Xenopus tropicalis: one gene and its partner. The protein of the gene in region 2 purifies or fractionates together with the protein of the main gene of each other region. This does not show direct contact. Links are inferred from orthologs where the notes say so. Each region holds a gene or a part of one and is shown on either strand. Other genes may lie near its edges. The genes, in order: sytl4 and rab27b.

Region 1 (3,828 bases), on a different chromosome or scaffold from region 2:
CCCATACAATGGTGTTAACATGACAAAAAGTCATGTGATTTTTAGGACTGTGGATTCTGCCGAATCCTGGATTCAGTGCAGCCCTAATTTAGAAGTCCTTGGAAACAATAATATACTTTGGTAGTCTACTCACCCTTTAACAAAGCTGTCAGATATCCCTCCCGTCTTAACAGCAGTGAGGTTTTTAGCTTCTTTAATCCAGACATGAAGTTCTCCTCCTTCATCTGCTTTTTCTAGTTTCAAAAATCAAAAAAATATTTTTTCAGAAAACGTGTCCAGGGGCCTTTACAATAATTGCAAGATTATTTATACTTTAAAGCAGTGCTGTCCAACTGGTGGCCCGCGGCCCCCCTCTGTGTGGCCCCCCACCTGTCTGGCTGCTTTGATGGCTTACTCTTGTGTAAGCTTTAAATGGCATCAGTACTGAGATTAACTGCCCCCCCCTGCATGGTTCTCACCTCAGATTCAGGCTGTAATCAGGCTGTATTGTTTAAATATGTAATCCCTTGTGTTGTTCACACCTTTTAATCTCTGCATTGTTCACCCCCTGCAGTGTTCACACCTCAGGCTCAGGCTGTAATCACCCCCATTGTTCCCCTGTTCACACCTCAGGAGCAATAGAAACCCACAAATAATCCCTGCACACTACAAAAAGAACATATACTGAGGTGGGACTTCAATTAAAAAAAATTTTAATATATAGTTTTTTAATATACAGTGCAGACTGTAGGAGCAGTGCCAGCATTGTGTCACTGTAAGCTGCCTGTGTGTGCCATACATCATAGGGCAAGCAGAGTATGGCACACACAGGCAGGGTAGGGCAGGCAGAGTATGGCACACACAGGCAGGGTAGGGCAGGCAGAGTATGGCACACACAGGCAGGGTAGGGCAGGCAGAGTATGGCACACACAGGCAGGGTAGGGCAGGCAGAGTATGGCACACACAGGCAGGGTAGGGCAGGCAGAGTATAGCACACACAGGCAGGGTAGGGAAGGCAGAGTATGGCACACACAGACAGGGTAGGGAAGGCAGAGTATGGCAGGTTTTTGCTGTACTACAACTATTAATATGGCTATGGTCATGTGATAACGTGGGTGTGGTTTCAAGTAGGTGCAGTTTCAAAAAGGGGAGTGGTCAAAACTGGCTTCCATTATCGGCCCTCCACCACGTAGGTCGGAAAAATTCCGGCCCTCAGTACAACAGAAGTTGGACAGCACTGCTTTAAAGGGATTCTGTCATGATTTTTAAATTACACTGTTTACATAGCAAACACAGTAATTCACTCTCCCAATTAAATTCTTATTCTTGAACCAACAAATGTATTCTTTTTAGTTGCAGTACTGGTGTGTAGGCAGCCATCTCAGTGCATTGTGCAAGGTGCAAAAATTGGTACAGTACACTTTATGCACCATATCTCTGAAAACTCCAGCATAAATTTGTCAGACACAAGTCAAACACTGTGTACTAACATGGCTACAAGATTTGCACCTACATGTAAATATCATGCAAGTTGAATCTGTATCATTAAGGATGCCATGTGGGAAGGGCATGGGCATTCCCATAAATTCCCATATATGTCTTCAATTTGAGCATGATTTACTTCTGCTTAACATATGCAGGGGTGCAGCGTCCAAGAACTCCATACTTAAAAGGAACAGTAACACCAAAAAATTAAAAGGTTTCAAAATAATTAAAATATAATATACTGTTGCCCTTCAATGGTAATTGTGTTTACGCTTCATAATGACTACAGTTGATATAAATACAGTGCTGTTTAGCTGAGCCAGAACAAAAACACCATAGAGCGTTAATGTTATCAATGTATTTATGCTCAGTGGTTTGACAGAATATAACGGTGCAATAAAAAACTGTAAAGAAATATTAAAAAGGGGGAGTGGTTCATTTACCCCCTGCAAACAAAATCTTTTGAGGGATGCTTGCTCGTTTGCAGTGGGCAGCAAAGTTAATGAATCAGAAAGATGGACAAGGAAGGACTACCACACAGCAGACCCTGAGGTCCTGGCCTTTTGCTGGGTCAGCTGTATGGTAGCAGCCACCAACCACAGCCGCTTCCACAGAGGAAAGAGAAGAGACTGAGCGTTCCAGGCTCTTCCCCACCTTCCACAGAGGATTTTTCTGCAGGGGTGTCCAGTCTTTCTTTGTTACACCACTGAATAGGGGCTCATTTTGTGACAGCAGTATCCATTTTAAGTGTATTATGAAGAACCATAAAAAAGACCTCATGCTAAAGCAGTCTAAATAATGGTTACTAGATATACACAGCAATTGTCCACTTACTTTTTCGCCTCTCACTTCCAGAGGGCTTGGTAGGTGGTACGTACTTCAGAGAAACCACCAGCTCCCCTTTGGAGTTATAAAAGCCAGCTCCACTGTCCATGTTGCCCTAAATAACAAAGGCAAGAATTTCACTACCGAATAGCTAACACATTAGTGGCATAAAACCAACTTGGCCACCAGCTTTTGAATTACTAATTTAAATGCTGTCTATCATCTTTCATTTAGTCAGTTCATTATCTAATATTCTGTACTATGTGTTCATGAGTCAGATTATTAAAAATGATGTCAAACAAAGAAAATATATATGTCTTGGGGAGACTGGGGACATAAAAAAAACCTTGGAGGGACACATCTAATCTGGAGCCTTGGTGTTGCCTAATTTATAGGAGGTGTTTTAGATAATGATCACAGCAATGATATGCTAGTGTAAGACACTCCAGTTGTTGCTCCTTAGACTCCAGTATCTCAGCAGCTTTTATGCCATATTGGGAATATAAAAAGAAAAACAGTATATACTAATTTTAAAAACACATTTTTGTAAAAATGCAGATTTAATAACAGTTTTATTCTTCTATCAGAGCAAGTGGTTGGTGTTAACAAATGACTGAAATACTTTAATATTACCTTTCCATGCAGAGGAAGACATTCTTCTATCAAGCTGTCAAAGTTCCAGGAATCCAGTGGAATATCCACCTGCCCTAGAAATGTGTTTCTGCCAAATCGATCATAATGCCAGACGGACAGCTCAAGGGATCTCAAATGGAGCATAGATTCTGGAACTATATACTAAGGCAAAGAAGAAAAACCCACAATAAATATCATATTCTACCTTTGATATTGCATGTCAAATTTACAAATGTCAAATATTATAGAGAGCTGTGTAGGAACTGTGTTTGCTGCTGTGAAGAAAATCATTTCTGACCAATGGGGCAGGGAAGGTGTTTCTTGCTGTGAGGGTTTGATAAGTAACAGTATCATTTGCAATAGATAAGCTACTGACGACAACAAATCGGACCAGAATATTTAAAATCATATTTCATTAACATTACTACAGAAAAGCTGCATCCTCAGCCAGCCACATGACAGTCATCATATTGGAGAAGTTAGCTTTTTACAGGTATGCTGCAGGAAAGTGGCTGGGGTGATGGAGCACTGATGGTTGTAAAATCACCTGATAAAGGATCAAACAATAAAGAATCACATTTGATTTATTTTGTTCTCCAGAGTGCACTCTTGATTTGAGTGCAGTAGTAAGACCTGAATAATGTACTGCAGCAGCTCTGAAAAGGCCTTTTTGATATACTGCAGTGGCATTGGCAGAAACTGTACAATGTCCTCCATGGGTACTTCAGATCACTGAGGAAATGCTTAAAGATTTCTTATTATGTGGAGCCTGATGCTGCTACATACAGTGGAAGGAGCTACCATGGAGCAGGACAGAGTGCCATGCCCAAATCTAATCACTAGGGCCATTCTTATTTAAAGGTTCTCACTTTGCAGTGAGAATTAAATATTCATTTGCTGTATTTA
Region 2 (3,806 bases):
CCAATAAAAATCATGACAGAAACCCTTTAATTACATGCATGGTTGCAATGAGTTGTCTTTAGCACTTGGAAATAATAGTGTATCAGGACTTATGTAAAACACCCTTTGGAAGTTGAAAGCACCGTAGTGATGGCATCTGGGCCACCAGGAACCTTAGAGAAGGGTCCCAGCAACCCATAACATTCAGCTTCTTCAACAGTTACCTTCATTATAACCTTTGGTTATTCTGTTATCCTCTAGTCCCAACCTTTCTTCACTCTTGTTCTATCTCCAGTTACTCTCTTTTACCACTACTTGTTTTCTTTTGGTGTTTTCCCTTTTCTTTTCCTTTGGCCTTTCCCATCATTTTTTGGGGTACATCTTCTATCCTCTTTCTAAACCTTTCCTATTCCTACTTTTTAATGTTTCTCATCCCTTATCTTTGGTCTTTTCCCACATATGTCTACTGCTCCATTCCGTTTTCTTTCTTTTCCCATTTTATTCTGTCTGCCCCTAAATGTGTCCTTCCACAGTCTGCATGGCAGGAGCAGAGAAACCATAAGCAAACATGCCTGGGGAGTTATGCTGGGGCCATGATGCTCTCCTTGTGAAGAACCCTTGAGTTCTGAGCTCATGACCAGCTCCAGAGTTGTGATTGGAAGGAGGTTTGGCTTTGCATTGGTATCCTGGTGGTCCAGTCCAAAGTTGTATAAAGCTAAGGTGAAGGCAACCATTGTGCATGTATTTGATGTATTTGTACTTCTTCTAACCTTCCAGGCAGTTTCTTTGTTTTTATATTGATGATTGTGTTCCATGACCTGTCCAATGTGCATGTAACATCTGAAACAAGACTAATGTTGGGTTATATTGTGTCATTATTGCCCAGATATACAGCAATGCAGGACCAGGCGGTACTCATGGCAAAACATTCAAGGTTCATTTGCAACTTTGGGACACAGCGGGACAAGAACGGTAACCATACAGTTATACATGGCTATTCTATTTCCTAACAGGCCATCAGAATTGGTCAACTTTCTGTAACTGCATACTCTATTAAATCATCTTTTACTGAAATCACCTTTGTATTAATAACTCCGATAACTTGGAGACAGGAGAAGGAGACAAAGTGAAACCCAATGTAGTCCTACAGGAATCTTTCAACTGATCCCATTAGTTAGATATTAGTAAAGCAAGGCAAGCATTTGAGGGTACTGCAACCCTTCTTGATGGTCTCATACAGTCAACTTCATGTAATCTACAGCAAAAAACCTTACCAGCCATACTCCTACATCTCAAAATGTGGTTGTGTATCTTCAACATGGATTAGGCTTGGAATTATCTGGGATTTAACCATTTGTTGTTGGAAGGGATCTGTTGGTTGATCTAGGTTGGTCTGCTAAGACATAACATTTGCAAGTTATGCAGTTATGAGTGCTGCAATGCTACATTAGGGTCATGGGGACACACTAAGGATAAAATAAGTACCGGTATAATTGTGGTGAATCAATAAGTAAAACCCACCCCCTCAGGGGATAACTGCATATTTATGTCCATAGGTCACATAGTCCACATAGTGAGATGATATAATCTGACAGACCAACATAAAAATAAGTGGCGTCCAACTAAATAAGTATCTAAACCTATAAGATGCACTGAAGCAGGCTGGCCAGCAATGAAACAGTATAACCTACTATCATCACTATCTTGACATGCTGTCATTCTCTTTATTTCTATCATCTTATCCTACTATCCACTTCCCAGCTTAAGGTCCCCACGTTAAGGTTCGCTCGCTTGGCGAGATCGCCAAGTGAGCGGATCTTCACCCAATATCCCCACCTATGGGTGGGTGATATCGGGGAGCGTGTAGGCTAATTGCCCTGGGGCCAAACGATCGCATTATATTGGCGGCAATGGGCAGTCGATTCGGGGACCACATCAACGAGCCAATGTGGTCCCCGATCCAACTGAATTTTCTAACCTTGCCAGATCAATATCTGGCCAATTTCAGGCCAGATATCAGTCAGGCAGGCCCCTCGTTCTGCCCCTACACAGGCCGATAAGCTGCCGAATTGGTCCAAGGGACCCATATCGGCAGCTACAATCGACCCCTGTATGGGGACCTTTAGGGTAATGACAGACGAGGATATTAGTTGCCTGCAATAAATCTCCTATACCGCGACGACTAACCTCCTCCAAATGCCTTCCTACCTGCGATAATGTAAACCATATGGCTTTGGCTTTCCAAAGTTGCCTCGCAAAGAAAATTTGGCCATCTTCAGAAAGCTGAAGGTACTCTTATGGTTTACCATAGTCCAAATCGTCCATTATTCATGGTGGGAAGGCATTTGGAGGAGATTAGTCACTTGCGATAGAGGACATTTATCGCTGGCCACTTATCTTTTGGTCATAGCCCTTGTTGTCACCATCCTGTGCTGTTGTTCCCAACTTTCCCTAATATATCTGCTATCCTTCAGTCTTTTTACATTAACTCCTCCTCAGCCAGGCCTATCCCCCTCTAGCAAGCCCCACTCCCCAAAATAGTGCTCTGTAAAATATCTGGGATACCTTTCTTGCTGTGGGCTACATGGCCAGGTTAATACACTACACCTAAATATCTTGAGTTTACAACTTGGGGGAGGGGGGATTATGGCTAAATATTGGAACATCAATGGTACTTGGTGTATTTTTACCCATATTGATGTAATTTGGACGGACATATATTTCTCTCAATGGAAAACACCTTCTAAATATTATATTCCTAACTTCCTATATTGTATAAATGCTGCCAACAAACTTTGGTAAACTCCCCAGGAACTCATCTAATCAGCTATCCTGCTCTATTGGCCAGTGATAGATGGTTCTTCCAGGCTATCTCCCTCCTGATTATTTATTTATAGTTTAGCACAGACATTGTTGTCAATAAAACACTTTTGGTTTATGAAAAAAGTTGGCCTGGAGCTTCTCGTGAATCCCATCAATAATCGGAAGCCGACTGCAATAATGTTCAATTCAATAGAGAATTTATGGCCCCCGGGGGTTCTTGGAGAGTCTCCAAGTCTATGCCGAACACCAGCGGATATTCTAGGTTATCCTGCCACCTCCCTTGTAATGTGTTTTGTTCATCTCCCCATTGGCTCATATTCAGTTATATAAATGTATGAAATTAACACAGACGTTTCTGTTCTGTAGGTTCCGAAGTCTCACCACAGCGTTTTTCAGAGATGCCATGGGATTCTTGTTAATGTTCGATCTCACTAGCCAACAGAGCTTCTTGAATGTCAGAAACTGGATGAGTAAGTGTTATGGCTTAATGGGATTCTGTCATGGGAAACCATGTTTATTTTGAAAACCCATCAGTTAATAGAGCTTCCCCAGCACAATCCTGCATTGAAATCCATTTTTAAAAAGAGCAAATAGATTTTTTTTATATTTAATTTCATACGGGGCTAGCCATATTCTTCATTTCCCAGGGTGCCATAGCCATGTTATTTCTGCTCTGATAAACTTCAGTCACACTTTACTAGTTGGAGTGATATCCCCCCCCCCTCACCCCCAGCAGCCAATCAGCAGTTACATGGGAGTAGGAGAAACAATAGGTTAGCTGAAAGCAGTTCTAATGTGTAGCGCTGGCTCCTTCTGAAAGCTCAGACTCAGGCACACTTTACTGCTGCGCTGCAAGTTGGAGTGATATCCCCCCCCCCTCACCCCCAGCAGCCAATCAGCAGAACAATGGGAAGGGAGCAAGATAGCAGCTCCCAGTAGGTATCAGAATAGCACTCAATAGTAAGAAATCCAAGTCCGGCTTGGGACTCCTCCAGTTACATGGG

Evidence for each region.
Region 1: the proteins of rab27b (region 2) and sytl4 purify together in Homo sapiens (co-immunoprecipitation; 3 studies listed by BioGRID and IntAct, counting the BioPlex papers as one, with this or other methods). This does not show direct contact. The link is inferred for Xenopus tropicalis from reciprocal best matches to the Homo sapiens genes RAB27B and SYTL4.

Annotation. Positions count from the first base shown.
Region 1 is NC_030684.2:64,624,849-64,628,676, forward strand, and holds part of sytl4 (synaptotagmin-like protein 4), read right to left. Parts: intron 3,085-3,828; coding exon 2,923-3,084; intron 2,405-2,922; coding exon 2,299-2,404; intron 234-2,298; coding exon 134-233; intron 1-133. UniProt on the Homo sapiens protein: Modulates exocytosis of dense-core granules and secretion of hormones in the pancreas and the pituitary. Interacts with vesicles containing negatively charged phospholipids in a Ca(2+)-independent manner.
Region 2 is NC_030677.2:203,256,464-203,260,269, reverse strand, and holds part of rab27b (ras-related protein Rab-27B), read left to right. Parts: intron 1-865; coding exon 866-951; intron 952-3,168; coding exon 3,169-3,272; intron 3,273-3,806. UniProt on the Homo sapiens protein: Small GTPase which cycles between active GTP-bound and inactive GDP-bound states. In its active state, binds to a variety of effector proteins to regulate homeostasis of late endocytic pathway, including endosomal positioning, maturation and secretion.